Linked DNA regions of Alligator mississippiensis. The protein of the gene in region 1 purifies or fractionates together with the protein of each later gene. This does not show direct contact. Links are inferred from orthologs where the notes say so. Each region holds a gene or a part of one and is shown in the gene's direction. Other genes may lie near its edges.

Region 1 (9,455 bases):
GTCACCCAGACCCCACTCCCCTCCCAGAGCTGAATTGAACCCAGGTGTCCGGGCTCCCTGCTCTCCACACCCAGTCGTGCTCCCTTCCCCAGGCTCGAGAGATCCCAGGTGTCCAGGCTCCCAGCTCCCCTGTTCTCATCCCCCAACACCTGGGTTCTCTCAGGCCCAGGGGCTTGGAGCAGGGGGTCTGGGTTCCTGCTCACCCCCCCACCCCCGTTCCTCCCCCAGAAGTACAAAAAGCCCAAGTTCATCCAATGCTTCGTGTTCGATGCTGGTGGCGACGTCCTCACAGGTGATTCGGAGGGGAACATCCTCACCTGGACCCGGGCAGCTGCTGATGTGCGCACGCTGGGCCGGGGCGCCAAAGGTATGGACCACTGGATGCCTGGGTTCCCTCTGCAGAGGGGCCTGGATGCCTGGGCTCTTTCCAGCTCTCAGAGGGGAGTGGGTGAGAGCACAGGGGGCTGGGTTTTCTCTAGCTCTGGGAGGGGGAGGAGGGACTGGGGGGGAGAGTAGGGGGCTGGGGGCCCGGACATCTGGGTCCTGCATTGACCTCCCCATCCCCTTGCAGAGACGTATCAAATCGGTCGGCAGACCCACGCACACGAGGGCAGCGTCTTCGCACTGTGTCTGCGCCGTGACGGCTCTGTGCTGAGCGGGGGGGGCAAGGACCGGCGCCTCGTGCACTGGAGCCCCGAGCTCAGCCTGCTGCAGGAGGCCGAGGTGATGGGCTGGACACCTGGTTTCTCTCGGGGGTGGTGTTGGGGGTGAGAGCTGGGGGGCCTGGGAGGCCGGACACCTGGGTTCTCTGGGTGGTGAGACTGGGGGGTGAGAGCTGGTAGGACTGGGTGCCTGAGTTGTCTCCAGCCTGGGGAAGGGAGTAGGAGTGCGGGTTGAGAGCAGGGAGCCCGGATGCCGGGGTCCTCGGGGGCAGTGGGGGATGAGAGCAGCGGGGGCTGGGAGCCCAGATGCTGGGCTCTCCCCAGCTCTGGGGGCTGGGCAGGGTGGTTCCAGCTGCCCCCTGACACCCCCCTCCCACTCCCCCAGCTGTCTGAGCGGTTTGGGGCCGTGCGCACCATCGCAGAAGGTGCCGGGGGGGAGCTGCTGGTGGGGACGACACGCAACGCAGTGCTGCGGGGGGGGCTGGCCCAGGGCTTCGTCCCCATTGTCCAGGTAATGGGGGGTATAGCTACACTGGGGGGGGCCTTGGGGGGCTGGAGGTTCCCAGCCTGCCCCGTTCATGTGCCCAGCAGCATCTGGATGTGCTGTAGGGAGGCTGAGTGGGCTGTGTGGGGGCTATGGGGCCAGAAGGGAGCTGTGGGAGTCCTGGGGGGGGGGGGTTAGAGCTGGCAGAGGCTGGGGGTCCGAGCCCACCTTGCTGCCTCAGGGTGCTCGGACGAGCTGCAGGGGGGTTGGGGGGTCACAGCTGCTCCCCTCCCCAGGGGCACACGGATGAGCTGGGGGGGGGGAGGGGTCACAGCCTGCTCTGCTCCCCCAGGGGCACACAGATGAACTGTGGGGCCTGGCCACACACCCGCGGCTCTGCGTCTTCCTCACCTGCGGCCACGACCGACAGCTCTGCCTATGGGACGGCGCTGCCCACAGCCTGGCCTGGAGCCTGCTCCTCGAGGTGGGGGGGGGGGCCTTTGGGGGCTGTGGCGTCAAGGAGAGTCTTGGGGGACTCTGCAGCCCTGTGGGGGTGTTTGGGGGGTGGTCTGTGGCCTCAGGGGGGACATTTGGGAGGGCACTTGGGGGTGCTGGACCTGCAGCCTGGGGGGCTGCTGGGCCCGGCTGACGCTTCCCATCCCCCAGGACACAGGGCTGTGCGCTGACTTCCACCCCAGCGGGCAGGTGGCGGCCGTGGGACTCAACACTGGACGGTAACTGCCCCCCCTGGGGCGGGGGGTGGGGGGGCAGCTGGTGCCCCCCCTCCCTCAGGCCCTTTTTTTCCCAGGGGCCCTGACCCCCCATCCCCTACAGGTGGCTGGTGCTGGACACGGAGACGCAGCAGGTTGTAGCCAGCGGCTCGGACGGCAACGAGCAGCTCTCGGTCATGCGCTACTCACCAGGTCGCACCCCCCCCCCCCCCACGGAGTCACCCCCCACCCTCTCCATGGTTCCTCCTATCTCCCCTACAGGGATTTATAGGGTCACAGCTCCTCCATAGGGTCACACCTGCCCCCGTGGGCCCCCTCCTCCCCTCCAAAGCCCCAACCCCCCTTTCTGCACCCCCAGGGTCCTAGCCCCCCCCATGGGCTCACTGCCCCCCCCTTGCAGACGGGGAGTTCCTGGCCATCGGGTCCCACGACAACTTCATCTACATCTATAGCGTGGGTGACGGTGCTCGCAAGTACAGCCGCCTTGGCCGCTGCACGGTGAGCCCTGAGGGCCGGTGGGCAAGGGGGCAGGGGCAAAGAAGGGGGGGAGATCTCTGGATGCTAGGTGGGGCAGAATCAAGGTGAGAGGGTCTGTCGGTGCTGGGGGGCGGTCTCTGGGTATTGGGGTCTGGGAGGCGGGTCTTGGTGCTCGGAGGGGCAGGGGCAGGTAGGGGGATCTCAAAATGGGGCTGGGGACTGGGGTGGGCTTTGGCTGGGTGTGGGAGTCTTGGGGTGCTGGGTACAGGAGCAGGGTGGGGGGTTCTGGGTTTGTGGGGGGGTCTAGAGTGTTGGGGGGGCTGGGGAGGGGTACTGGCTAGGGTACGGGTCCAGCCATTGGTCAGACTGTCAGCATTTGGCCCTGGGACGGGGTCCTGGGATGGGGCTATAGGCCTCTGGCATAATGGCGGGGTCTGTCTGTCTCATGCCCCTGCTATACCCCCCTCCCCCCCTGCCAGGGTCACTCAAGCTTTATCACCCACCTGGACTGGTCCAAGGACGGGAAGTTCATCATGTCCAACTCAGGCGACTATGAGATCCTCTACTGTGAGCTGCGGGGGGCTCCAATGGGCTGCGCTGGGGGGCTCAACTGGGTGTGGCAGGATTGGAGGGAAGGGGGTTGCATGGGGTTGGGTGTCTCTGGGGGTTTCCAGGTTGGCTGGGGGGGGGTTCAGGGAGGTCTCCATGGGGGCTGGGAGGGTGGGTAGCTGCAGGGTGGGGGGCTCTCCATGGGATGGAGGCTGTGGGTGGGGTTGCATGAGGTAGAGCGGGGTTGCATGGTGTGAGGGCGGGTTGGAGGGGTCTCCATGCGGCCTGGAGGATGGGGTAGCTGCAGGGTGGGTTGCATGGGTCTGGGGTCCCCATGGGGTGAGGGGGCTGGAAGTGGGTTGCATGGGGCTGAGGAGCTTCCAAGGGGGCTGGGGCTGGAGGGAGTCAGGCTGTGCATCCCCCCCACACCCCTTCCATGCCCCCCCAGGGGACGTGGCTGGGAGCTGCAAGCTGCTGCGTAACCGGTTCGAGAGCCGGGACCGGGAGTGGGCAACGTACACCTGCGTGCTCGGATTCCACGTCTTCGGTGAGCTGGGGACATGGGGAGGGGGACCCTGGGGGTGTCCCCTGGGGGTGCCGGGGAGAACCAGGGGGGGCAGGGGGCACAGAGGAATGCCCACACGTGCTCATGTGTGTGCAGGCGTGTGGCCGGATGGCTCGGACGGCACAGACATCAACTCCCTGTGCCGGTCGCACAGCGAGCGCGTGGTGGCCGTGGCCGATGACTTCTGCAAGGTGCATCTCTTCCAGTACCCCTGCTCCCGTGCCAAGGTCAGATGCCCCCCCCGCCCCCTCCCTGGGGGTTGGGGTGGGGGTGCCAGGCCCTTCTGCCCTGGACCTGAGGCAATTCTGGATCGGAGAATTTCTGGGGCAGAGGGCCCTGGCTGTCTTGGCGTGTCTCTGCCCAGGGCATCTTGCCTGGAGAGGGGGCAGGTATCAGGGTGGGGGGCACACTCCGCCTTGTAGGCCAGGTAGTGGGTAGTGTGTCTTGAGGGGGGTCTCTGCTGGGGGTGGGGGGACCGGGGGGGGTTCCACAATATGGCTGGCCGAACTCGAGGGGTTTCCTGAGGTTTTAGGGGGGGGTCTTATATTCAGAGCTGGGGTTGCTGCAGAGAGTGTGGGGGTCCTGAGGTTTTGGAGGGGTCTCTTATTGGGGTGGGGGGTTTCAGTGCAGCTGGGGAGCTCTAGGAGGTCTCATATGGGGTGGGTGGCTCAGCAGGGCCTGGAGGAGGCTCTGGGACCTTAGGGGGGCACTGGGGTTCTATGGGGGGGTCTCAGCCCCCCAACTCCTGCACCCCACAACTCCTCCCTCCCACAGGCCCCCAGCCACATGTATGGTGGCCACGGCAGCCACGTGACCAACGTGCGCTTCACCCACGACGACGGGCACCTGGTCTCGCTGGGGGGCAAGGACACCAGCATCTTCCAGTGGCGGGTGCTGAGCGGGGGGGGCGCCGTGCCCCCCCGCAGCCGCTCCTTCTCCTCCACCTCCCTCTCCTTCCAGGAGGCTGGGGGGGGGCCCTGAGTGCCCCCCCCACCCCCAGCCAGCCGCGGCACTAACTCACGCTAACGATGTGACCTGCTTCATTAACCATAACTCCCCCAGGGCAGAGCAGGAGGGGGAGGCAGGCAGTGCCAAAGCAGGGAGGGGCCAAGCACCCCCTCCCTCCTCCACGGGACCAAGTCTGGGGGGGGCAGGATGCAGCCCCCCCACCTTCGTTTACATTCCCGGCTGCTCCAAGCCGCTCTCGACACTGTGACAGGCCCAAATAAAGCCTTGGCATCAGGGGCCGGGCTCCCGTCTCCTTCCTGGTGGGGCGGGGAGGCTCGGCTGGGGCAGTGGGGGGGTCTGCCCCACCGCAGAGGTGGCTGCATCTTTGCGTTGGGCTCAGAGGTATCCCTGGATGCAGGGGAGCTGTGCCCCACCCTAGAGGTGGCTGCATGTTTGCACCAGCATCCCCATGTTCCACCTCAGCACTGGCTGCATCTCATCAGCGCCTTGGGGTTGGGGCTAAAGAGTCACTAACTGGGGGTATGGAGGGTGCATGTCTATTTTTTTTGGTTCTATGCTAATATATGCAAATAGAAGCCAGATCTATGCTCATATATGCTAAAGAGGGCGAGGGAGTAAAAGGGAAGAAATGGTGCGACACGGCGAGGAAAAGGTTAATGGGGAGCCGGAAAGACCCGAAGTACCCCCCCTTTCCGGAAGGAGCCGAAAGCGGCGGCGGGCGGAAAGACTCGAGTGCTGCCGGAAAGAGCCGAAACCGAGCCAAGGCTCTTCCGGGGGGGGGCCCGAAGCTAGCAGCGGAAGTGGCCGAGAGTGGAGTTAGGGGCGGAAATACTCGAGCGCCGCCGTAAATACTCGAAGTGCTGGCGGGAATGCCCGAGGTGGTGGCGGAAGCGGCAGGGCGGTGACGGAAACGCCCGAGTGATGCCGGAAGTGCCCGAGCTGGCGGCGGAAACACCCGAGCGGCACCGGAAACGTCCGAAGCGGAGGCGGAAACACCCGAGTGGCGCTGCGTGAGGAGGAGGAGGCGGCGGCGGGAGGCGATGAAGAGCGGCCGGGGCTGCCGGTAGCGAGCTCCGCCGAGCCGAGCCGGGCCAGGCCCGGGGCCATGGCGGCCAACATGTACCGGGTGGGCGGTGAGTGCGCGCGTGGGGCCCGGCACCGAACCGGAACCGGAACCGACCCCCGTCCCCTGGGGGGGAGGGGCAAGTGCCCCCCCTGGGTATTTGGAGGGGGTGGGGGGAGTTGAGCCCGTGGGGGCTGGGGTAGATATCCCCCGTGGGGCATTCGGGGGGGTGAGGGGGGCAGGTCATCTCGGGGGTAGCTTGGGGGCAAGTGGAGGGGCTGGGTTATGTAACCCCCCACTGGGGTATTTGGAGGGAGTGGGGGCAGTTTGAGGGCCTGGGGGGTAACTTTTCAGAGCCCTGGGGTGTTGCTGGGGGGGGGGTAGCGGCCCCCCCCAGGGTATTTGGAGGGGGGTGGGGGTGCAGCTCTGCCCCCGAGGGGTGATTTGGGGGTCCCTGGGGTAGCTCGGCCCCCGAGGGGTATTGGAGGGGGTCGATGAGCTCTGAGGGGGCAGTTTGGGGGGGCTGGGACAGGTCATCCCAGGGGGTGGGGAGCCGTGTGGGGGAGTGGGGGGCAGGCGGCCCCACGGGGAGTTTGGGGATCCCGGGGGGGTGTATCTAGATGGGGGCTGGGGGGCAGGTCAGGGCGGGGGAGGGCAGCAAGAGAGATTCAGCCCCTGGGCGCGGGGGTGGGGATCGCCCCGGGGGCCGCAGTCGGGGGCACTAGGCCTCAGGGGGGCTGATTGCAGGGGTCGGTGCTGGGGCTGGGTTGGGGGTCCCGCCGCTTTTGCCCCCCCTGACAGCCCCCCCTTCCCTCCCCGCCCCCAGACTACGTCTACTTCGAAAACTCCTCTAGCAACCCCTATCTCGTCCGGCGCATCGAGGAGCTCAACAAGGTGAGAGGCCCCGGTGCCGCCCTGGGGACGGACCCCGGCAGGATGGAGTCGCGCCCCCTCCCATGCCCCAGGGGCTGGCGTCCAGGCCCCTTCCCCCCCTTTGAGGCCCTGCTCTGGGGCAGTTCTGCAGAGGGTTGAGGGGGCTCGGCTTGTCTGGGGGTTGCACGGGGGGAGTCTTGTTTGGGCTGGGGTGGGCCTGGCCTGCCTTGGGAGATGAGGGGGTTGTGGGGCAGGTCTGGGGGGGCAGAGGAGGGCTTGACTGAGGGGATGTGGGGGGTTGCAGACCAAGGCTGGGGGGGCTGGGGAGACATGCAGGGGGCAACTGTGCCCAGGGCGCTGTGGCAGCCTTTCACTCTTGCCCCCAGACAGCCAACGGCAATGTGGAGGCCAAGGTCGTCTGCCTCTTCCGGCGCCGTGACATCTCCAGCAGCCTCAACAGCCTGGCCGACAGCAATGCCCGTGAGTGGGGCACCAGGGGGGAGCTGTGACCCCTCCCACTGTGGAGGGAGGGGGGTCTATCCTGGGCCTGGGCTGAGGGTGACGGGGTACAGAGCAGCCCAGGTCCAACCCCAGGGACTGAGCTGCCCTGACTTGTCTCTGAGCAAATTGGGGGCTGGTTTTGTTTCTCCCAGCACTGCCCGTGTAGCAGGGGCCTGGGAGTGGGGCGCAGGGGCTGAGGGCCCGGGGTGAGGGAGCGCTGGCAGAATTTGGGGGTCAAGAGTGAGGGGCGTTGGCAGGGCTAGCGGGGGCTGCAGGTTGGGGGTGAAGGGCACTGGCAGAGAGCTGCGAGTTGGGATGTGAGGGGCACTGGCAGGGATAGGGGTTGAAAGGGACTGTGGGGTTAGGAGTGAGGGACCGGCGGGGCTGAGAGGGGCTGCAGGTCAGGAATGGGAGGCACTGACAGAGCTGGGCTGAGGGGTGGCGGGTTTCCTCCCACTGTACCATGCAGGGCTGCCCTGGCCCGTGACCCGGTGCAGCCTGGAGGCTGCAGACCACGTGGGCTTAATGGCATTGGGGGGGCGAGGGCTCTGCCTGGGGTTTCCTGGGCGCAGGAGCAGGGGTAGATTTTCCACCCCCAAGCCCTTGGGCAGCTGCCAGGAGCTGGAGACAGGCGGGGCTGGACCGCAGCTGCCTCCACGGAGCCGCTTCCTGCCATGGGGGCTGGGGGGAGCGGCTCTTGCTGGGGGCGGGGAGGGGGGCCTGGAAGTGTGGGCAGGGGTCTGAGCCCATCTCCTTGGCATGAAGAGGGAGCTGTGTGGAGCTACCTGACACCCCCCCTTCCCCTGCTCCCCCTGCTTGGCATGTTCCCCCAGGGGAGTTTGAGGAGGAGTCAAAGCAACCAACAATGACAGAGCAGCAGCGGCACCAGCTGAAGCATCGCGAGCTCTTCCTGTCCCGCCAGTTCGAGTCGCTGCCGGCCACTCACATAAGGTGTGTTGGAGGGCACCTCAGCAGCTACCAGGGAGGAAGCTTTGCATGTGGCAGGTGGGGGGGTGGCAGGTGAGGGGGGGGGGGATTCCTTGAGCTGGCCTGGGCAGGGAGGGAACTCCAGCATGTGACACGTGATCTTGCTGGTTGCCCACAGGGGGAAGTGCAGCGTGACACTGCTCAACGAGACTGACATCCTGGGCCAGTACCTGGAGAAGGAGGTGAGGGGGGGTCGTAGCTCTCTGGGGGCAAGGTCCTGGTCTCTGTAGAGCTTGGGGGGGGGAAGAACTGTTTTGGGCTGGGGTTGGGGGTGCATCTCCCTGGAGGTGGGGGAGCTAGTCTCTTTTGGGCTGGCAGCTAGGGGGAGGGCAGTTCCCTGGGCATGGGTCTGGAGGGCTGGGGGCTCTGGGGTGTTCCCAGCCCAAGGTTCATTTCCTCTCCCCCGGTTCCAGGACTGTTTCTTCTACTCGCTGGTGTTCGACCCTGTGCAGAAGACCCTCTTGGCCGACCAGGGCGAGATTCGTGTCGGCTGCAAGTACCAGGCTGAGATCCCCGACCGGCTGGCTGAAGGTATGGGGAGGGGAGGGAAGGGGACCGCGTCCATCCCCCTTGGCTGGAGAAGGGGATCAGGACTGTCTCCCAAGAGACTAGGCAGGCAGTCATGTGTGTGGGGCCTCCCCTGACCCAGCTGCTTCCCGCAGGTGAGTCTGACAACCGCAACCAGCAGAAAATGGAGATGAAGGTCTGGGATCCCGACAACCCCCTAACGGACCGGCAGATAGACCAGTTCCTCGTGGTGGCCCGGTGAGGGGAGTGTGGGATGGGGGGGAGCAGGGGGGAAGGGACGGGCTTTAAACAGCCTTGGAGAAGTCGGGGGGTCTAGAGGCCCAGAGCCACAGGGTAGGGTGCTAGGGCCAGGCTGTTCAACTGGTGGGTAAGAGGAGCCCTGAGCACTGCCAGAAAGAGCAGGGACAGCTCTTCTGCTCCCAGCCACACGCGAGAGCATAGTACTGGGACCTCGAGCCAAACACCTGCCCTGGCAGCACGGGGAGCAGTGGGCGAAGATGCCTGATGGGGTCTGGAGGAGGCTGGCCAGACACTGGGGGCTGAGCTCAGTGCGACTGCCCTTGCTCCCCCTGGGGGCTCTCCCAGGCCTTGGGCCTTTGCTGCTATTGCTGCACAGGGCTGGGAGGGAATTTTTCCCCGCTCTGTTGGTACAGAAGTCAGGGGTTTCTCCCCTTCTTTTGTGGTGCTGGGTGCAGCTGTAGCCAGGCTAGGGACAGTGACCAGGCTGTGCTAGGGTTCCTGTTGTGGCTCAGTCCTGGAGGCTTCTGCCTAGAGAATCTTGCTGCCCACTTGGTCACTCTGATGTTGCCTTGCCCCCCACCGTGGTCAGACTGATATGGATTGGGGCAGGGAACAGTGTTCCCTTTCTCTGCAGGGCGGGCCTGGCTTCTGCCTGGGCTCTCTCCAGTGCCTTGAGCTCCCCTGGCAGCAGCAGGCCACTGATACCCTCGCTCTTCAGGGCCAGGCCTGAGGGCTCTGGGCATCTGTGGGATGGGCTGGGGAGTGGTACCAGCAATGGGCCAGACCATGGTGTGTCTGGATAGATCGTGATGGGGCTGAGCCCCAG
Region 2 (9,623 bases), on another chromosome or scaffold:
CGTCGGCTTGGGCCTTCCCAGGGTCTCTGCTAGCTCCAGCCAAGCAGATGCCGTTACGTGCCCAGGGACGCTATCACCTGCTGGCAACCTGGCTCCTATTCATGCGGCGCAAGACGCACCTGCCGCTTCTCGTTGTGCGTGGGCCAGGTTTACGAGAGCTCCTGCTTTATTACCTTGTTCACAAGGCCTCGCTCCTACCTCACTAAGTTAGCAACGCTGCTCTCGGCTTAGCTTGCCGGCAGACGCCTGCTCTTCCAGGCCACGGGCTAGATCCATCTCCCTTGGACTTGAAGCCAAAGATGATTTTGGGGGCGCGGAGTTCTGGCACGTGGCTGCACGTTCCCTATGGGGTACCAGGCGCATCTTCCGGCTGCCGCGAGTGATTCCCCACATTGCCGTTCGAGCAGGAATAAGAGCAAGCGTCTCCTCCGCGTGCCCCAGGGTGCCGGCCTCCAGCGCAGAGAAGACGTACTAATCTGTGCCCCGCTGATCCCAAACAGCCCTGTCAGGCCCATGAACCATGCAAGAAACTCTTCAGAGTTTTTTAATTATTATTATTTCCAAGGCTTTTTGCAGCACAGCGGGCTACGTTCGGGTCCTGCTTGCACGACGCGATGGGAAGAACGGGGAATGACTTGAATGCAGAATGGGGGCTCCCAAATCCTTCTACCTCACCTTGGGTTGGGGAAAGCCCAGGCCTGGTTTTACCCGTGTAGTGGCCGTGCTTCTCTGGGCCTCGGGTCCTTTACCTGGGCCAAGCCGACGCTAGTGCACAGTGCCCTCGAACGGGGAGGCATTGCCACGTCCCGGAGAGGGGAGTGCAACCCGTGCGTGGGTGGCGGTAATAAAGGCACTGCATGGGTGGCGCGAGTGGGACGCTGTGCCACCCTCGCAAGGGCGCTCTTGGCACGCCTGGATCAAACCTGCCGCCGTTTCTAGCCACGGGCAGTCACACCCGGCTCCGCTTTGCACTAGCCCGTGGGATGCACACGGGGAAACCGAGGCACGCTGCCTTCGGGGCCCTGCCCGTCCAGAGCCGGGCGAGGGCCACCGCGGGGCGGCTGGACGCTCGCGTGCCCGCTGTCCCGGGCGCGGGGGAGCTGGGGAAGGCGGAGCGGGACACGCTGCCGGGCGCTGCGGGGAGGGGGTTATCGGGGTGCGGGCGCGGGCACGGGCCGGCGGGGAAGGAATAACGCGAGAGTTGCAAGTTGCTTTTTCCAACCTCTTCTTTCCCGGCTGCAAAACTGGCAGAGGCGGCGGAGCCGGGGGGGAGGCGCTGCGTGTGTGCGGTGCGGGTGCGGGTGCGGGGCGGCGCGGGGCGGCGCGTGCCCGTCCGCCCAGCACCGAGGTAAGCACCGGCCGCCGCCCGGCCTCCCCCGCCGCCGCTCCCTCCCTCCCTCCCTCCCGCTCCCGCTGCCGCTGCCGCTGCCTCTCCTGCCGCTGCATCGAAAAGTCGCCATTTTGCTTCACTGCTTTTCCCCTCCCGGCCCCGCGGCCCCACGGCACGGCCCGGCACGGCACGGCCCGGCACGGACGGGGCGGCGAGCACGGCACGGCCGCACGGAGCGCCAGGGCCGGCCGGCGGTGGGGCCGGGACGCGGCCGGGCGCGGGAGCACGCGCAGGTGGGGCCGGGGCAGGTGGGGCGGGCTGCGTGGGATGCGCCCAGGTGGGCGGGTGAGTAGGGGACGTGCAGGTCGGATGCGCCCAGGTGTATGGGGGACGTGCAGGTGGGCGGGATGCGCCCAGGTGGGCGGGTGAGTAGGGGACGTGCAGGTCGGATGCGCCCAGGTGTATGGGGGACGTGCAGGTGGGCGGGATGCGCCCAGGTGGGGCGGGTAAATAGGGGACGTGCAGGTCGGATGCGCCCAGGTGTATGGGGGACGTGCAGGTGGGTGGGATGCGCCCAGGTGGGGCGGGTAAATAGGGGACGTGCAGGTCGGATGCGCCCAGGTGTATGGGGGACGTGCAGGTGGGCGGGATGCGCCCAGGTGGGGTGGGTGAGTAGGGGACATGCAGGATGGATACACCCAGGTGTATGGGGGACGTGCAGGTGGGTGGGATGCACCCAGGTGGGGTGGGTGAGTAGGGGATGTACAGGACGGATGCACCCAGGTGGGGTGGGTGAGTAGGGGACATACAGGACGGATGCGCCCAGGTGGGGTGGGTGAGTAGGGGATGTACAGGATGGATACACCCAGGTGGGGTGGGTGAGTAGGGGATGTACAGGATGGATACACCCAGGTGGGGTGGGTGAGTAGGGGATGTACAGGATGGATACACCCAGGTGGGGTGGGTGAGTAGGGGATGTACAGGATGGATACACCCAGGTGGGGTGGGTGAGTAGGGGATGTACAGGATGGACACACCCAGGTGGGTGGGGGACGTGCAGGTGGGCGGGATGCACCCAGGTGGGTGGGGGGACATGCAGGAGGGATGTCCAGGTAGGGTCAGGGCGGGTAGGTGACCTCCAAGTGGGGCTGCGCGGTGGGGACACGCAGGTGGGGCGCATTCAGTTGGGAGCTCCCGTGTGATTCCAGCCCGGGGCGGGGCAGGCGAGACCGGGCCGCCAGCTGGAGGCAGCGTCAGGCCGTGGCAGCTCCACCGTCACTAGACCCAGGCTGTCCCTGGGGGTCGGGGCGGCGTGTACCCTCCAGGCCAGGGAAGGGGCGTCTCTGCGAGACCCGTTCACTGTGCGCCGGCCAGGGCTGTGCATGCCCTGGGGTTATCGCCGCTCGTCACCTCTGGGTGCCTACATGCTCTCTCTGCCACTGCTTCGTGGCTGCAGGGGGGCGGCAAGAGTTGCTAGAGCAGAAACTGTAAAGCACCCTGGGCTTCCCACGCACCCAGAGATGTCCTCTGCGAAGGAACTTGGGCAGATTTCCCGCCCGCTCGAGGACACATTCGGTCCCTGCTCGGACAGCTCACGAGGAGACATGGAGAAACTTCCAGCCCTTCCTAAGCCAACGGGGCTTTTTGGTGGGTGCGTTTGCAACGGTGCTGCTGAAGAAGGAAGGAAATGAGTCCCTCAAGCGCGGTGTTTTGCGGAAAACGGAGGGGCGCGCAGCTCGCAGAGAGAGGGGAGGCTCTAAGAAAGTTACCGAACGGCAGATCGGCGCATGATTTGGGGGAGATGGGCGGAAAGGACTGCGAAACAGGAACGACGCAGGTCCAGGCCCGTGAGCCTTGCCCTGGGCCAGAAGAAAGGCTGTGCTCCGGAGTGAACGTCAGGCCTCTGGCGCTAACGAGAGCCAGGTAAATCCAGAGGCTCCCGCGGCTGCTCTCAGCTGCGTCCCTCTGTCCACGTGCGCCCGGCCTGCGCCCTCCTGCTGTCGGCTCGCAAGTTCTGCAGCTCGGGGCTCTTTTTGGCACGGAGCAACACGGGGAACATTTGCAGCAGCTCATAAATTATTCATCCTAAGTGAAGGAAATTGCCGAGGTCTCAGCCTGTTCTACATTAGGCATGTTCTTAACGATGTGGTTGGCACTTCACCCGGGAAGGGCAGGGGGAGTGGACCGTATTAAGGACCTGCAGGCCTCTTTTTTCCCCCTCTTTCCAGTCCTACAGATGTACTGGGGACTCTTAGATCCCAGCAGTTAGTGGCTGATGGCATCCACGCAGATAACCACGGGCCGAGATTGAAGGGACCAAACTCAGGTATAAATGGCTGCAACTTCATTCATTTGACCGGAGGCATTTAGCGGTGAGCAGAGGCTTTTCTGCACAATTTTCCCTCTGATGCGTCTTGTCCGATGGAGATTTTTAAGGCTTCCCGACGGCTTCCTTGGAATACCAATCTCTGGGTCTTGGCCACCAGGACCCAGGAAGCTGGCCAAGAAGCCTTGCAACTTCCAGTGGTAGGTCTGCTTACGATGCAGGGGAGACATTGCCCAGAACAATTAAGTAACTGCGATATGAGCTTTGCCTCTGTAGAATACATTGCACATCGATGGGACTCATGCCAGCTTATCCCAAGATGAACTTGACCCCAAAGGGACTGCATGACAGTGCGGCCTGTTCTCCGTATCCCGCTTCGTGCTGTCGAGCGAGAGCATCGAGGCCAGGCGTTTTTCCATGAGAACAAATTTGAAGTGTGTATGTAGGTTGTGTTGTCTCACGTGTCTCCCTCCTTGCTCCCACGTTTGGCTTCTGCGTTGTAATAACTTCTCATTGGACTCTGCATTTGGGGGCTTACCTCGTATCGACGCGCCTGGTCCTCGTGTTGGCCAAAGGGCGGAGGGGGGCGAGTTCAAGGATTAATCGGTTAAAATGCGCTGGTTCTGCCTGTTGCTTCTGGCAGGCTAGGACCAGATGCTTGAATTCGGGCTTCCCTGTAGCAGACCGGTGAGGTGTCACTTAATCACAGGCCTGACCCGCTTTTCTGCGCCTTGTGGGAACACCTGAATCGATCTCAGATGTCATTAACATGCCACGTCCCAGCACGACTGTATTTAGGGGCTGCTGGGCAGGGGGGATTTTTGTTTTGCTATTGTAAATTGAAACTGGCTTTCAACCCACCCTTAAGGAAGCAGAGGAGAGAGGTTGGAAGTCATCAATCGTCTTGATCTAGTGTGCGCGGGGAAATAAAAGGGAGACGTTTGGATATGCCGGGCTGGTTTCTGCTCTGTTGCTCTGGGGTGAGCACACTAAAAGCCACGGTGGGGTTGGGAGCAGATTTTTTGCCCTGCATAAACGGTATATTAGCTGGGATTTTAAGCTAAATTAAAGAGAAGGGCAAAGCTTTTAAAGAAGCAGCTGGGGAGGAAATAAAATCTGCGAGAGTTACAGAGCTGCAGGGCAGGGTTGGCTGCGAGGGGTGCGTTGAATGGAAGGAGCCGCGATTGTTCGGTGTTCAGGGTCGTTTTTCATTGAAGACACGCAGCGTAGCTTTTGGATGCGAAGTTTTTCCAGGTGCCAGCATATCTCCTGGCCCAAAGCTCCTCTGCTGTAATTTGTCATCTAATTAGGAGTTCAGTTAAGCATGGCAGTGTCTTAGGCCTGGTTTTACTGTGGGATTTGGTCGTGTGTCAGGAGTTTTGTAGGCTGCTTCATGTGTTTGGAGTGACCTGCTTCTTCCAGGGCCTGGGACATGCATCCTCAGCCTGGGGTCAGGCCATTTCATTGCAGCTTTAGCCCGGCTGGAGCTAATATATGGAGAGTCCTTCCTGGGATTTTTGCCAGGTGGGGTCACGATCCTGAAACAGGTATAGAGTAAGAGTGGGGGTTCGTCCTGCTTCTGTGCTCAGCCCAGCTCCTCTCTCCTCCTCCTTCCTGAGCCTTGCTTAGCCCCCGTCACATGAAGCTTCCCCAGCGTGTCGCACAGCGAGCCGTGTTCACGCAGAGCGTCTGTGACAGCCGGGGAAGCCCCGACTCCCAGGCCCCTGTTCTAAGCACTGGACCACGCTGGCCCCCGTGCACCAGTTGCAAGGGAAACGTTGCAGTCTGTCAAGTAAATAATAAGCTCTTAATTCTAAATGATCAAAGCATGCACATTTCTGCCATCAACACCGAGGTTTTATGGTCTAGCACTGTGGTTTTTTCTACCTTTTTTCATGTGTGGGCTCCTAAAAAATTTCTAATAGAGGTGCCAGACCCCTTTGAGTTGTCAGCGTGCATATTCACCTACTTTTGCTTCATCGTAGTCACCTTTTCCAGACCCCTTAGACATAGCCTGCAGACCCCCCGCAGGGGTCTGAGGACTATAGGTTGAGATCCACTGGTGTAGTACATGTCTAATTAAAACATGGCATCAGTATTCAGTAACACACCTGAACTGTACTGCTCTGGGAAGTGCTTTGAATTGTTACACCGTCTTGTGTTCACGGCTGAGACCAGCCATGTCAGGTTTTCTTGCGTTAAGTCTTTATTTCGGTGCCGTGCTGTTCTGTCTGTCTCCCCGTCTGCCTGTGTGTATGTAGCCAAGGAAATTAAATTCCAAAGCAGATCTATGTAAGCAATATCCCAGGTTGGGGATGAAGTTGCAGTGAGCACATACCTCAGTGGTTTCCTTCGGTATTCTGTCACATCAACACAAAAAACCCAACCCTGATTTTCTTCCTCATCTTGGTTTACCCCCTCCTTTGCATTTGCTTTCTAAGGATGACTGCACTGCGAGGTGTGTTCAAGGGATATAGGAAAGTAGGGCTGCAAGGGACCTCGTGAGGTCATCTCGGCCGGCCCCAAAGGGGTGCAGCACACAGTAAGAAACATTGGAGGAAAGGGAGTTTATTGATAGCGTTGGCTCTAGGTTGGGGCTCTCGGGCTTGTGCTTGCTCAGCGAGGGACCAGGTGTGACGCCGGGGGAGCTGGGTGCACAGACAAAGGGACTCGACACTGCTCCAAGTGAGCAGGCCAAACAGATCCCACGCAGGGTGTCTGGGCACCGTCTGTGGATCCAAGCCCATTCAGGGGCTGGGACGATGCAGCTGGGGCTGGTCCTGTTTGGAGCAGGGGGTTGGACTAGATGTGACCCCCTGAGGTCCCTTCCCACCCTCATTGTCCATGAGTCTCTGATAGGGATAACTCGATAAATAATTGTTCGATGGGAGACTCGTGTGTTGCTTGTACACAATCATGCCCTGCCCTTTCTCCTTCTTGTCTCCTAGCCTGGAAGATCTAAGTTAGTGGGGTGAGGACTGTCGGATGCTATATATTTGTGCAGTGCCTTGCACACCAGGGCTGCCTCCACCTGCTGCTGGGATCAAATCGTAGATAAAGCTCAAAGAAGCACACCAAGAAGCTCAGCTGGTGGAAGTCACGGTGCCTCTGCTGAGCTCCAGGCACCCGAGAAGGTGGAGACGAGACTGGGATGTCTCACTCGATCGGAGGATGACTAACCCTGGTGTCTGGGAAGATGACTAATCTTTCAGTACCAAAATTGCAAGCGGGAGAGTCTCGGAGCATTACCCGGTGTCCCCAACGTGGCTGGCTTTCAAGCCCAATGCACTGTCCTTGGCCACATAGAGAGTCCCATTAAGGACTCTCGGCTTCTTCCAATTCCATGTGTCCCCGTGTGAGGAGCGATGCCCTGGACATCAAAAGCATGCGTGAGTTGATGCCTGCACACCTTGTAGGATCAGATATCCAGGCTCTTAAGTGCTTTGCAGCTTGTCCAACAGCCCACCCTCCAGAGAGGGGCTTGCTGACCCGCAGGGGGCTTGCTGAATGAGCAGGGATGGGCTTTTTCTGGTTCTTTTTGACTGGGTTTCGGGCAGATGGAAGCAGAAGCAGCAACGTTGTTGGAGGTTTGGGTGTTGAGTCTAATCCGTGGCTTTGAGGGTGAAGTGGTTTGGCAAAGAGCAGAATGGCAGTGATCTCGCCAGGCCTCAACACACTGCTTGAGCAAAAGGGTGCACTTACCAAGTTGCACGTGAGCTAGCAGGAAGCTGTAGACCTTCAGGCCAGAAGGAATCGTTGCAGTCGTGTGCCCCCCGGCTAGAGCCTGCCCCGTCCGTGCAGGTTGCTGCCGGGGGCTGAGAGAGGAAGTGGCTGGGTACCGATAAAGCCACGGGGGCTGAGGAGTGGGGAGGGTCTGCGGAGGGTGGGAATTGCAACACCTCTGCTAGAAGGAGACGGTTGCTGTCGGAGAGGGGATGAACAACAACACCCTGCCCCTGCTTCAGCTCCGAGGAAGTGGCTCCGTGCATCAGGGCTCGGCGACAAGCAAGGATGTGGCTAGGCAGGCTCAGGGGCTATAAACGGCCTCCAAGCCACGCTGCAAGATGTGGTTGGCTGTAGAGCCAGCCAGGTCAGGCTCTGCCCGCTGCCCTTATCCCACCCGCGCGTCAGAGCCCAACACTGCTGGTCGTCATCTGTCTCTGCTGAAGCCAGTGGGGAAATTCCCATTGATTTCAGAGGTGCAAGATAAGGGAGCCTCTGGTCCTCTTCAGAAAACTGCCCGGTGGGATCATAACCCAGGCAAGGACTGGCACCAGGAGAGGAAATGGAACTGGGACAAAACGGGGGGACAGCTCGTGCCTGATTTCGGGACGTCTGGCACCGTCCTGGTTCTGGAGTCTAGTCGCATTAACTAGCACCCAGTCTTTCCAAACACGCTGTGCTTCGTTGTCTGTATCTAACGCGTGGAGGCGCAGGGCGCGTTGGGAGGTTAGTTGCGCTATGCATGTTCTTTATTTCTGAGCAGATGTGGCCGGCAGATGTGCCACGAGGGGCCCCGGGGTCTCCAGGCTGCCTCCGTTTCTGCTGTTCTTCTTGTTCACTTCTTGCATATCGTTAAGTTCTTTTAACACCCCTAAAAAGTGGAAGTTGGCAGCGCGTTCCTGTGTCCTTGCAAGCTGCAGGATGTACAGGGCTGGAACATGGGATTCTGTGTCCCAGGCTGGCACCGACTCGTCGGATGTTGTCGGGCAAGTCACCGAAGCGCCATGTTCCTGCAGGATGGATGTGCCAGCCTGTCAAGGCCATGGGTCAGTGTCTACGAAGCGTTCAGATCTTGTCCCATGGAAGGATGTGCAAAATGCCTCGTCTCTGCCAGGGATCTGTCTAATGGCAAAGGGAGAGAGGAAGAGAAGGAGCCACCTCTGAATGCAGCGGTGGTGCCCCCTTCGCCGTGCAACCCCGGATGCCTGGAAGCACGCTCCTCTCGGCGGTGGGTTTGCAGCATGTTCACCTGAAACACCCATGTAGCGTGGTGGGGACCGCAGTTCAGACCTCTCGGCTCAGCCCAAACCGCGGACCCGAGTCCAAGTTGAGGGCCGATGGTGCAGACTGCATTCCCAGCCCTGAGGACTTCAGGTGAATCCCACCACGGGTGGAGTTGCCCAAGTTGGTGGAATCGGCCTTTACAGCAGAGGCTCCGCACTCTCTGCTTTGCCCCGGCCACGCGGTCCGCAGCGGGCCTGCTCTCTGTCACTCGCCACCTCCGGCACCGGGGATTCAGCCCGCGTAGCAAGTGTTACGCACACGCCGAGACTTCTCCACCTTAGCAAAAGCAAGAGGAGCTTCTAGAGCGCATCGCTCCGGTGTGTCATTGCTGTTGTGCTTGCCATGCAGAGAGCAACCCACGTCCTTACACTCACACCACTCGTGATCGCCGAACGTCCCTCCCACCATTCGTTTCATCAGTGTTTTGCAGCGCGTTTGCAAATGCTCAAAACCGACTCGGACCAGAACCGCAACAACCGGCCGATCCAAGAACGAATCCGGCCGCCGTTGGACTCTATGGCCGTTTGGGAGCGAGATTGGGCCCTTCCGGATCATTTCTGATGTTCATTATTTGTCAGGGAACCAAACTGAATTATTAATATGGAGAACGGAGATAGCGTTAACGACTCTCGCTTTATAACAGTTCCCCATTAATAGCGAAAATTGCAAATTTATCACTCGATCTGTTCATTAAAACTCGCTTTTTTTCCCCCCCTTTTTGGTTTCTTTTAATGAAAGCGGAGAAATAAGAGAATGGGAAAAGCCATTTGGTTGTTATTTCTTCAGATGGATCCAGCCTGTTGTTTTTAATGAAGTCTTTACTCTTGTACGTAGAAGCATGAGGGTCTTATCACAAAAGCAGCATCTCAACCATGTCCGTAGCAGCACTCAGCCGTGTAACAAATACTTAGCAATACTTCCTGCTTCCTTCAAGGAGACTGCTTAGTCCTGTTTAATAGT
Region 3 (9,651 bases), about 22 Mb from region 1:
CCGCTGCCTGCTTGCAGATGCAGTGCCCACGGCATCGGGCCCAGCTGCCAGCCCCCACCTGCCCTCTTGCTGACCCCCACTGACCGAAATGCATTTCTCCCGCCAACAACGTTGCAGAGAAGCCGGCGTTGGGGAAGTCTGGCCAGTATTTTTAGCTGCTTTCAGCAGCTGGAGGCAAGCAGAGAGCCAGTGCCATGAAGCCAGCCAGCTCAGCTGGGTATGCTCGGCTGGGCACAGCGTGATTGGGGCCAGGGAACAGCAGTTTCCAGCCAGCGCCTTGTCTGGGTGAAACAAAAGTGCAGGTTCGGCAGCCCCAGGAGGGTTCACAAGTGGGAAGCAGCAGCTGGCCACTGTCCAGTGCTTTGGTGGCAAAATCACTGGGAGATGTTGGATGTGTTCCTCTGAGCACTCCTCTGGTTTGAAATTTCAATAATCATCAGCATAAAGTGCTCCAAATCAGCTGGAAGTGTTTTGGTGTGTGTCGAGCACAACTGGAGGTCTCAGAGTTGTGACCTGTGGGTTGGATAGTCCTGCGGGGTTTCTCACAGACTAGGCCACCTGCTTCCCCACAGGGCTCACTGCCGGAGTGCTTTCAGCACAGCTGTTTTGGAGTGGTTCCAAATCTCGAGGGGTTAATGCTGCTCACTTCCCTTGCCTACTGCCAAAACTGGGGGTTTTAGCTGCCCGTGACATTAAAGGTTGGCAGCAGGGGGTGGATCCAGCCCGTGAGGAGTCCCCATGGGACCCAACACACATGACACCCCTGAACTAAGCCCTTAGTTTGACCCAGAGTGAAATAGATTTCACCATAAAATTTAGTGAGGTTGCAAGATAGAGGGAATGGGGCTTTTTCTGGACCTGATGGCCAATTTCTGAATGATCTGTTCACCCTGGTCTGATTTCCAAGAGCAGCCCCAGGCCAGAAGGGGAGACCTGCTGCTAAGCACTGTAGAAATGTGTCAAGGAAGAGTCCACCAGCCCAGATTTAACCCCGTTCAGGTAGCAAGGCGGCTGGACTGCTGTTCTTGTAGTTGTGTGTTGTTTTATCAGGGCACACAGAGTTTTTGCACCTCTGGCAGCTTCAGTCCCTGCCCACCAGGATGCAGGTGATGACAAACAGTTGCCAAGCACAAATTAGCACTTTTGCCGGACAACCCAGGGCCGCATCAGAAAGAATATCCTAGAGGCAGACTCTGAACTCTGTAGCTAGCAGCTAATTATCTGCCCCGTCCACTTCTTGGACTCCAGAACTCTTGCTGTTCACAGTATCCTGAAGCACATGCACTGTTACATTTTGATCATATTTTGGTAATTTATGCATTTTTGTTTTCAATGCAAGGCTCATTCTATGCATTCCCAGAGGGAACCGCTCTGGGCTAGCCGGTGGGGAAACCAGTTAATCATCCTTTCTGTGCCTCCAACAGCTCTCAGGTTCAATCTTCAGTGGCCGCAAATCGATACAGCTTCACCCAGGTCAACTCGTTACAGCAAGGAGCATTCTTGGAGGATGCCAACTGGTAAGCTGTTAGCAGGAGAAGCGGGATGCGGATGAAATGTATGGCAACCGCATGTCTCAGCCCCAGGCTGGGAAATCCCAGTCAGAGTGGAGCTTGAATCGGTGGAAGAGGGGAACGTGCTATTTTTGTTGGCCTTATAAAAACCCTCTGAAATATACGGGTCCAGTTCATGGGCCGTGTAACCAGCTGGCCCAGCTCCAAGCCCAAAAGGAGCTGTATTTGTGCAGCCCAGGCAATACCATGCTATATCAGAAACACTTCGATGGGACCCCAGCTGCTAAAAAAAAAAAGGGTGTGCCTTGGCCCTGTCAGAAATCTTTGCCCTGTTTGGCTGCATGTAGAGAAGCGTCAGTTCCTGCCCAGAAGAGATTTTAGATTTAAACTGGAAGGGGAGACCCAAGCAAGGATGTTAGCACCCCGCGGAGAGATTGAGTGGCAAGACTGAGAGGGAATCTGTATCAGAGGCTGTTTCTGGGACTCCACCCAGCGCCTCAGCCGCACAGCTATAGGCAAGATTAAGCAGGGTGATATCCTGGCCTGGGGGAAGTTGATGCTGGAACTCCTGTTTGCTTCCAAGGTCCTGGAAGCCTTGGCCTTGGCATGCCTGCCCTGTTCCTGAAAGCTGCCACGCAGCCTTCCCTTATTAGAGAGGAGAGTAAGGCGTGCAGTAGGAAATCAGCAGGGAAGAACTGCCAGCAATTGCCTTGGAAGCAAACAGGCAGTTCCCCTGGTGGGGGGAGGGCAGGCGGCACTCGGAGCCAATCTTTGACCCTCTTGTCAGCCGAACGGCGGTGGGTGAAGCCCTTCAGATAAACACGACAGCTCCCCTATTAGTGTCATTCTGTATGGGTCTGCAGTGCAATCCCTGACACTTGATGAGCTACAAAGAAGCATCAAAGACAGTGAGAGACAGATTGAGGAAAAAAGGAAGAGAGAAGAAAAACCCTTGCTGCTCCCTGAGGGATCTAGACCAAGCCACAAACAGCCAGGGTCAAGTTTAAGCTGAGTCTCACTTGTTGGCAGGAAATGCGCGCCTTGCTCTCAACATGTATCGGGGCCTATCATGTGCAATGGCATGACCTGCTCCCCCCCGACCGCAACTCAATGAGCAGCTGAAGAGGCAGGTTAGCGCTTTGTCCTGTTGGATCTCCCTGTTCCCCCCCCAGGCAGCTCAGCAGATGACAAAACCAGCTGAAGATCCAAGCAGCCACAGAGAGAGGGAAGAAAAAAAACTCCAAAAAAACCTTGGAAATTGCCTTTGAAAGAAGGAGAGAAAAATGAAAACCAACTCAGGTTCCCTCTGGCCTCCAAATTCCTCCCCAATTGTTGGCTTCCAGCAGCACCGGGGAACTGTTTTGACATGAATGAATAGGCTCGACGCCCAGGCTCCTGGGGGGCCGGAGGGGTGTTGAATTAAATATAAAAGGCACAGAGGGAACCATTTGGTTGGCAAGCTGCGAGTCCCTGCAGGCGATGGGCATATCCTACGCGGGTATTTATGACTATCCTACAGGGGGAAGATTGCCGAGAAGGAAGCAGCAGACGCCGCGTTTCCAGGGATGTGTGTGCAGATCAGAGGCATGTGAGGGGGAAGAGTCCAGGTGCTCCCACAGAAAATCTCAGCCCCATGAGATTTAATGCCATAATTAAACATATAAACACACCACTCTTTGCTAAATCCTTCCTGTTAATGATGGCTCCAGCTGTAAGGTGAGGCAAAAGTCTGTTGGTTCCAGTGAGGCTTCTCCAAAAGGTTGGATGTTCTCTCTTTGCAAGATGACCTGGGTTTGGACCTGGTTAGGGGTTCCCACAATTTGTTTAGCGGGAAAGATAGTCCATGGCCCTCTTTTCTCTTTGTGGAACGTGCTGGGGCTGTCTTACAGGTCTGGAAATTGAAAGCCTGGTATCCGGAAAAGATTTGATGCATTTCCGCAGGCAGCAAAAGACTCGATCCATCCTTCCTGGCCTTCAACAGCAAAGGATTTTTGTATCTCAGACCAGCAGGCCACACACAGAAATGTTAATGGGGCAGGGGCACAAAGCTAATAATCATCCCAGCTGATCTGGGGAAACAGAAAGGGGAGAAATTTGGGACCACAGATCACCACTGACATGTTGGGGGAGCGGCGGATTTGCACAATGGAAGGTTCGAGGGACATCACATCTCCTGCATGCTTCACACCATCCGGGGATGGACCACTAGTCAAGCAGGCACAGTTGCATACCCTGATCTGCACTTTTTCACCCACCGACCCGCCAGTTCTAGAAACGATAAAACTACCATCTCTCAATCCAGGGGCCTGGAAAGACTGTGCCTAAACAAAACCCATTAAGCAACTGGTAGGAATCCTCACTCAGGCCCTGACCTTGCTGTCGAGTCTGCTCACACGGAAGTGGTGGGCGGTGGATGACATTCTGGAGGCTCGTCCTGCAAAGCAGGATACAGCTACCAAAAAGAACAAGAGATTAAAATGAGAGATGGTGTCCTTCATTTCTTTAAGGAAGGGGGTCCTGGCTGCTCTCGTGTTGGAGGCCTGGAGGAGGGAGGTTGGAAAGTAACAGCTACGGGGGATGGCGTTCTTCACGTGCTTACCTAGGGAGGGCGAGGATTTGGTATGCAGCGGAAGCCCAACCATGCCGAAAACGTAGAAGTCTGGAATTCCCCCAATCTACTGGCAGTTCCCCTCGCCCAGACTCCTTATTTAACACGTGCATGTGTCCCCTTGCTCATGTGAGCAGACCCAGTGGATCAGGCCCTAGGGACCTGCTTGTGGTTTTTGACATGCCTTTTGCTTGCTTGGTCTAGCAAGGTCAGCAGGTCCTCACAACTGTCCAGAGGCCGTCACAGGATCAGAGCCCTCCAGAATATCGTGTCCTGGTTTGTTTGTTTTTTGGATGCACCCCACTTTCTATTTGTTTTCTTGGGGAGGGGGGATGCAAAAAGCACTTTGCAGCACTTGATACCAGTGAAACACTTCAGTAAAATAGTTCAAGAGAAAAATAAAATAAGGAAGACACTGAAATATTTGTAGTCCCCAATTTTTAGTGTGCGCGCGTGTGTAGCTGGGCGGGGGGGGGAGGTAAGATGGGGAAGGTATTTAGAAAGAAACAGAAAGGATGGTGCTTTTTTTTAGCAGAAGGAAAATAAAAGTGCTGGAAAATAAAAATACCTGACATGAGCTCCCCCCCTCCCCCCACCAAAAAAAAATAACATCAAGGAAAACAGTTAAATACTTCCTAACAATGCCCTTAAACGAATTTGGACCCTACACTTAAATGAATTGCAAGGTTGTTTTTTGGGGTTTTTTTCATTGCCAGACAGGCTAAAGAAAGAAAGAAAAAGCCACTCCCTTCTGAAGTATTTAGAAGTAAGAAAGGGAAGGGGGAAAAAAAGCCCCTTTCCCCCCACTCTCGCGTAGACTAGTAAAGAGGAAGCAAAAAAAAAAAAAAAAAAATCATGGTGTTACTAGTATGGAACTAGTTAACCTTTAACAATTTATGCTGATGTCATACTGAGCATGAGTACTGATTAATCCAGCCTTTTCTCTCCCCCCCACCCGGGTAAAAAATATTTTTATTGAGGGAGGTTGGGGGGGGGGAGTATAAGAAAAAAAAAGAAATAATTTAGAGCAGCCATCTTTGTTTTATGCAGAAATCTTTCTCTTTCAGTTCCCCCAGTGCCAGGAATATACAAATATTGTTCATCTATGCAATGATCTGAGATCTTTGCGAGAGATTAAAAGAAACCAAAACAAAACAGAGAGAGAGAAAGAAAGAAAGAGCTATCTATATTTATATATATATTGAGAGGGAAGGGGGAAAAAGGGGGGGAGCGCAGATTTTTTTTGGGGGGGGTGGTTATTGGTGCCTGATTTTTTTTGTTGAGGCTTTTTTTTCCTACTCTTTTTAAAAATCTTTCTTGGGTTTTTTTTTTTGTTTTTTGTTTTTTTAACCTCAAGGAAGAGGTGTGTGTGTCGGGAGGGGGGGGGAACTTTTTTTTTTTTAAAGAAGCCAGCCATCTTGTTTTCTTTAAAAAAAAAAATAAAGAAAAGGGGTGGAAAGGGGGGGGGATTTTTTTTTTCCTTTTTTACCTCCTGGGGGGGCCTGTTTTAAAAATAATTGAAGGGCGGCCATTTTTGCTCCTTGCTCTTGTGGAAAATATTATTCTGAGCGGCCCCCTCAGCTTTGATAGAGATATATATATATATATTTTTACCCCCACCCCCTTATTTATTTTTTTTCCACGGGGGGGGGGGGGGGGGGAGTTGAGTGGAGTTTTTTTCTCCTTTTTTTTTTCCTCTCCTCGCCCCCCCCTTTTTTTAACCCTTTTCTTCATGGGACTTTTCCCCCGTGCTGTGTTTTCGGTGTTGTGAGGGGGGAGAGGGTTCGTGCGTGGTGAGGGGGGGCTCCCCCTTCCCTCTCCCCCTCCCCGCCCCCCCCCGCACCACCATGGCTTCCCCTCTGAGGGAGGACGAGGAAGAGGAGGAGGAGATGGTGGTGTCTGAGGCGGAGGGGGATGAAGACGAAGAGGAGGAAGAGGAGGAGGAAGAAGGAGCAGGGGACAACAGCCCCGGCGACATATTCCTGCCCGCCGCCCAGGCGGGGCCCATGCCCCTGGCGCCAGCCCCAGCAGCATCCACTCCGCCCGCCGCCGCGGCCACTGAGGCGCCCGCAGGTAAACAGCCCCCCGCCTCCCCCCCGAGCGGGGCGCCCCCCCGGCCCCTGTTTGTAAACAACCAACGGCTTTGGAACGTGGCGGCCCGAGGGTTCCACGCGCCCCCCCCCCCCCGCCCCAACGGCTCCGCCACCGCGAGGGGCCCGGCCCGGCCGCCCCTCCCCCCAGCAGCGTCCGCGGCCGGGGAGTTTCTGCCCCCCCCCCAGTTGGGCCGTTGAAGGTGGCGGGAGTTTGTAAACACCCCCCCATAGTGGGTGGTGGGAGTTTTTAGCCCCCCCTCATATTGGGCTGTTGAGAGTAGTGGGAGTTCGTAGCCCCCCCCCCCCCGGTCTATATTGGGTGCTGGGAGTTTTTAGCCCCCCCCCCGCATATTGGGCCGTTGAGGGTGGCAGGAATTTCTGAACCCCCCTGTATAATGGGTGATGGGAGTTTTAACACCCCCCCCCATATTGGGCAGTTGAAGGTGACAAGAGTTTCCAAGCCCCCCTCTGTATTGGGTGGTGGGAGTTTCTAGCCCCCCTCCCCCCATATTGGGACATTGACAGTGATGCAAGGTTCTGCTCCCCCCTCTATATTGGGCCATTGAGAGGGGCTGGAGTTTCTAACCCCCCTTTATATTGGGTGGTGGGAGTTTCTGCCTCCGCCGCCATATAGGGCCATTGAAGGTGGCTGGAGTTTCTAGCCCCCCCTCCTCTATGTTGGGTGGTGGGAGTTTCTAGCACCCTTCTCATATTGGGCCCTTGAGGGTGGGGGGAATCTCTAGCCCCCCCCATTGGGTCATTGAAGGTGGAAGGAGTTTCTACCCCCCCATATTGGACTGTTGTGGGTGGGGGAGGGGTGGGGCTTAGGAGAGTTTCTAGCCCCCCCTTGAGGGTTTCATGGGGGGGGGTTCCTCACCCTCGGTTCCTTCTCCACCCTGGGTTGGGGCCTGAGAGTGTCTAGCTCCCCCCAGGAGATTGTGGAGGGGGATCCCCCTTGTGTCTCCACCCTAGGGGTTGGTAAACAAGCCCCCCCCAGGGAATTGTCTCCTTAGGCAGCAGCAGTGGGGGGCAGACCCCCATCCCCCTTTCCCCCCCATCACTTTAGCCAGGTGCCCCCTCCCCCCACACGGTAGGCCCCACACTGCTGAAGTGCTGAGTGCCCCTCTGTTTGCATGCCCCCTCTTCTTCCCCTGCCTCAAAGATGGGGGGGGGGGTCTGGTCACTTCAGGAGGAGGGTCACTTTGATGGGGGGAGCCATCCTTAGTGTGCTTGGTGGTCTGCGGAGTGGGGCCTGGGGTCAGGATGCAGTCAGTTGGCAGCAGTGGGGGGCACTTGACACCCTCTGGCCCCACAGGGGGTGGGTTGGCAGGAGTAGAGGGTGCCCGTTGTGCCAAACAGGCCTGTGCGTTTAAGCAGGATGGTGCTGGCGATGGTGCAGGCCGGGTGGGCGGGAGGATGTGCGACTGGATGCGGCCCGTGGGTACTTGGCAGCAGGCCGGGCTCTTGGCAGGCAGGTTGGGGCCCTGTGGGGAGCCCGAGGCCGGGAGGGTGTCTGCCAGGTTGGACAGGGCTGAGATCACTCGGGGTCACCATGCTCAGTGGCTGCTGGGCCTTGGCCAAACGGAGGGCGCCGCACAGGTGGCATCTGGTTCTCCGCCTGGGGATCAGCCCTCGCCCTCATGATTTTTGTGGGCACAGGGATCTCTCAGCACCCAGCTCGATGGGGCTGGCGGGATACGGGGGTCCCCTGCAGGGCTGAAGCTCCATCAGCAAAAGGTGCCCTGGCAGATCTGCCCACCGGGAGCAGCCGGGGTCAGGCCTGGTGGGCGGGAAGGGTGACTTGAGGACAGGGGGAATCGGGCAGCCCGGGGTCAGGGCCACATCAGCTGCCGAGCTTGTCTCTAGGGACAGGCCTTGTCAGCCGTGATCAGAGCAAAGGCGGGGAAGCCGGTGCCTTATGGGAAAAAGCTTCAGGTGGCGGGACAGGCGAACCCGCACACCAGTTGCCTGGGACATGTTGCCTCGGCCTCTGAGCCCTGGGGTGCTTGAAACCCCAGACCGATATAGCCGGGAGCCTTTGTTGTTGGTTTTGAACGCGCAGCTTCCCCCAGCGGAGCTGGCTTTGATTTGCTCTCTGCAAATCACGGAGCCTGGGGGAAGATGTGAAGTGTTGGGAAGGGGGGGCGGTGGAGGCGTGTGTGTATCAAATGCCGCCATTTTCCCTTCTGGATCAAGCCCCATTGCTTGGAGCTGTGCACGCTCATCCCCCCCCGCCTCGCACCCACTGTCTTCCATCACAGGATTGCCCACGGGGTCCTCGACTTCTCGCTCGCTCGCTGTTTCATTCATGGTTAAACACGGTGGGTTTTAGCATCAGCCCCAGCTCTTGGTGCCTTTATAATCTCCCGCCATGAAGCATTACATTGAAGATTCCAAAGTTACTCTGTTCTTGATTCGAGAACAAGCCTCAGTTTAATTACTGGGCCGCAGCAGGCTGGCTCAGGCAAGAGTGGCGTAGGATCAAACGTCCCTAGAGACCCTCGGGAACCTAACTCTCTTGGGCTTTGTCTCCCAAGGGGAGACCGGACCTAGGGCAGTGACACCCACCCCATCTGGAGTGCGGCCACATCTGGCGCGTTGTTGTTGAATCCAGGTCCAGATATTTGGGCGTGGGGGAGCGGTGACAAACATTAATTACGGCAGCAATAAGTGCTCCCATCCCTGCAGCACTTCCAGACCCATGGGTTGCTTGATGAGCCGGCTCCAGAAACCTAGAGGCTTTAGGCCCCTCGGTGCCAGTGAGCAAACCCTGCCTCACCTATTAGAGATGTCTCTCAGGGCTGGTGCTTTGAATCAGTGACAGAATGAAGGGCAAAGGATATTTCTTCTTTAAAAAGCGGGAGGGGGATGGGGAAATTGGATTGGATACCCTCATTCTGGTCCCCAAATGGGGTTGTTTCATTTAAATCCTGTGTTTTAAGAGGAGCCGTTTTCTGTTCCGATGGGCTGGATGCACGCGGTCTCAAACCTCAAACCCGCCTTGAGGCCTCAAGTTCCTTCCCCCCTGGGGAGCCCTTGGCTTTCCTGCCCCTCAGGTCAGACCCAAGTGAGTGAACGTGTATTGTGGAAAAATTGGGGTTGGAAGGGACCTCAGGACGTTATCTTATCCGAGCGGAACCTGCGCCGGCCTGGCTCAGCTTTGGAGGCCAGGGCATTCATGTCGGGGCAGGCTGCGGTCCTGCCACCTGTGCCAGGCTCTGAGTCCCCGAAGCAGGTGGGCGTGGAGCTTGAGCTGGACTTCTCTGTCTTTTTTGGCTGCTTCTTCCGCCTGGAGCTGGACGTGCTGGGACGCCCTCCCTGCCAGCTGGCGGAGGTCTCCTGGTATTGCACGTGGAGTCCCCATTGGGCAGATTCGCAACCTGCCCATCTTAATGAGCGAGGAGTTCACAGGGCCAGAGCCATACGACGGATCTGAGCC

Evidence for each region.
Region 2: the proteins of MTA2 (region 1) and ZNF512B purify together in Homo sapiens (affinity purification with mass spectrometry; 3 studies listed by BioGRID and IntAct, with this or other methods). This does not show direct contact. The link is inferred for Alligator mississippiensis from reciprocal best matches to the Homo sapiens genes MTA2 and ZNF512B.
Region 3: the proteins of MTA2 (region 1) and CHD3 purify together in Homo sapiens (affinity purification with mass spectrometry; 8 studies listed by BioGRID and IntAct, with this or other methods). This does not show direct contact. The link is inferred for Alligator mississippiensis from reciprocal best matches to the Homo sapiens genes MTA2 and CHD3.

Annotation. Positions count from the first base shown.
Region 1 is NC_081838.1:3,230,793-3,240,247, forward strand, and holds the start of MTA2 (metastasis-associated protein MTA2), read left to right. Parts: upstream 1-5,424; 5' UTR 5,425-5,542; coding exon 5,543-5,570; intron 5,571-6,326; coding exon 6,327-6,394; intron 6,395-6,759; coding exon 6,760-6,853; intron 6,854-7,707; coding exon 7,708-7,825; intron 7,826-7,979; coding exon 7,980-8,043; intron 8,044-8,274; coding exon 8,275-8,392; intron 8,393-8,523; coding exon 8,524-8,626; intron 8,627-9,455. Other genes in the region: EML3 (echinoderm microtubule-associated protein-like 3), read left to right, coding at 229-367, 572-723, 1,048-1,173, 1,499-1,630, 1,813-1,880, 1,981-2,069, 2,278-2,375, 2,834-2,921 and 3 more. UniProt on the Homo sapiens protein: May function as a transcriptional coregulator. Acts as a component of the histone deacetylase NuRD complex which participates in the remodeling of chromatin.
Region 2 is NC_081832.1:2,816,079-2,825,701, reverse strand, and holds the start of ZNF512B (zinc finger protein 512B), read left to right. Parts: upstream 1-5,422; 5' UTR 5,423-6,999; coding exon 7,000-7,045; exon of another isoform or gene 7,046-9,623. UniProt on the Homo sapiens protein: Involved in transcriptional regulation by repressing gene expression. Associates with the nucleosome remodeling and histone deacetylase (NuRD) complex, which promotes transcriptional repression by histone deacetylation and nucleosome remodeling.
Region 3 is NC_081838.1:24,912,868-24,922,518, forward strand, and holds the start of CHD3 (chromodomain-helicase-DNA-binding protein 3), read left to right. Parts: upstream 1-5,640; 5' UTR 5,641-5,966; coding exon 5,967-6,192; intron 6,193-9,651.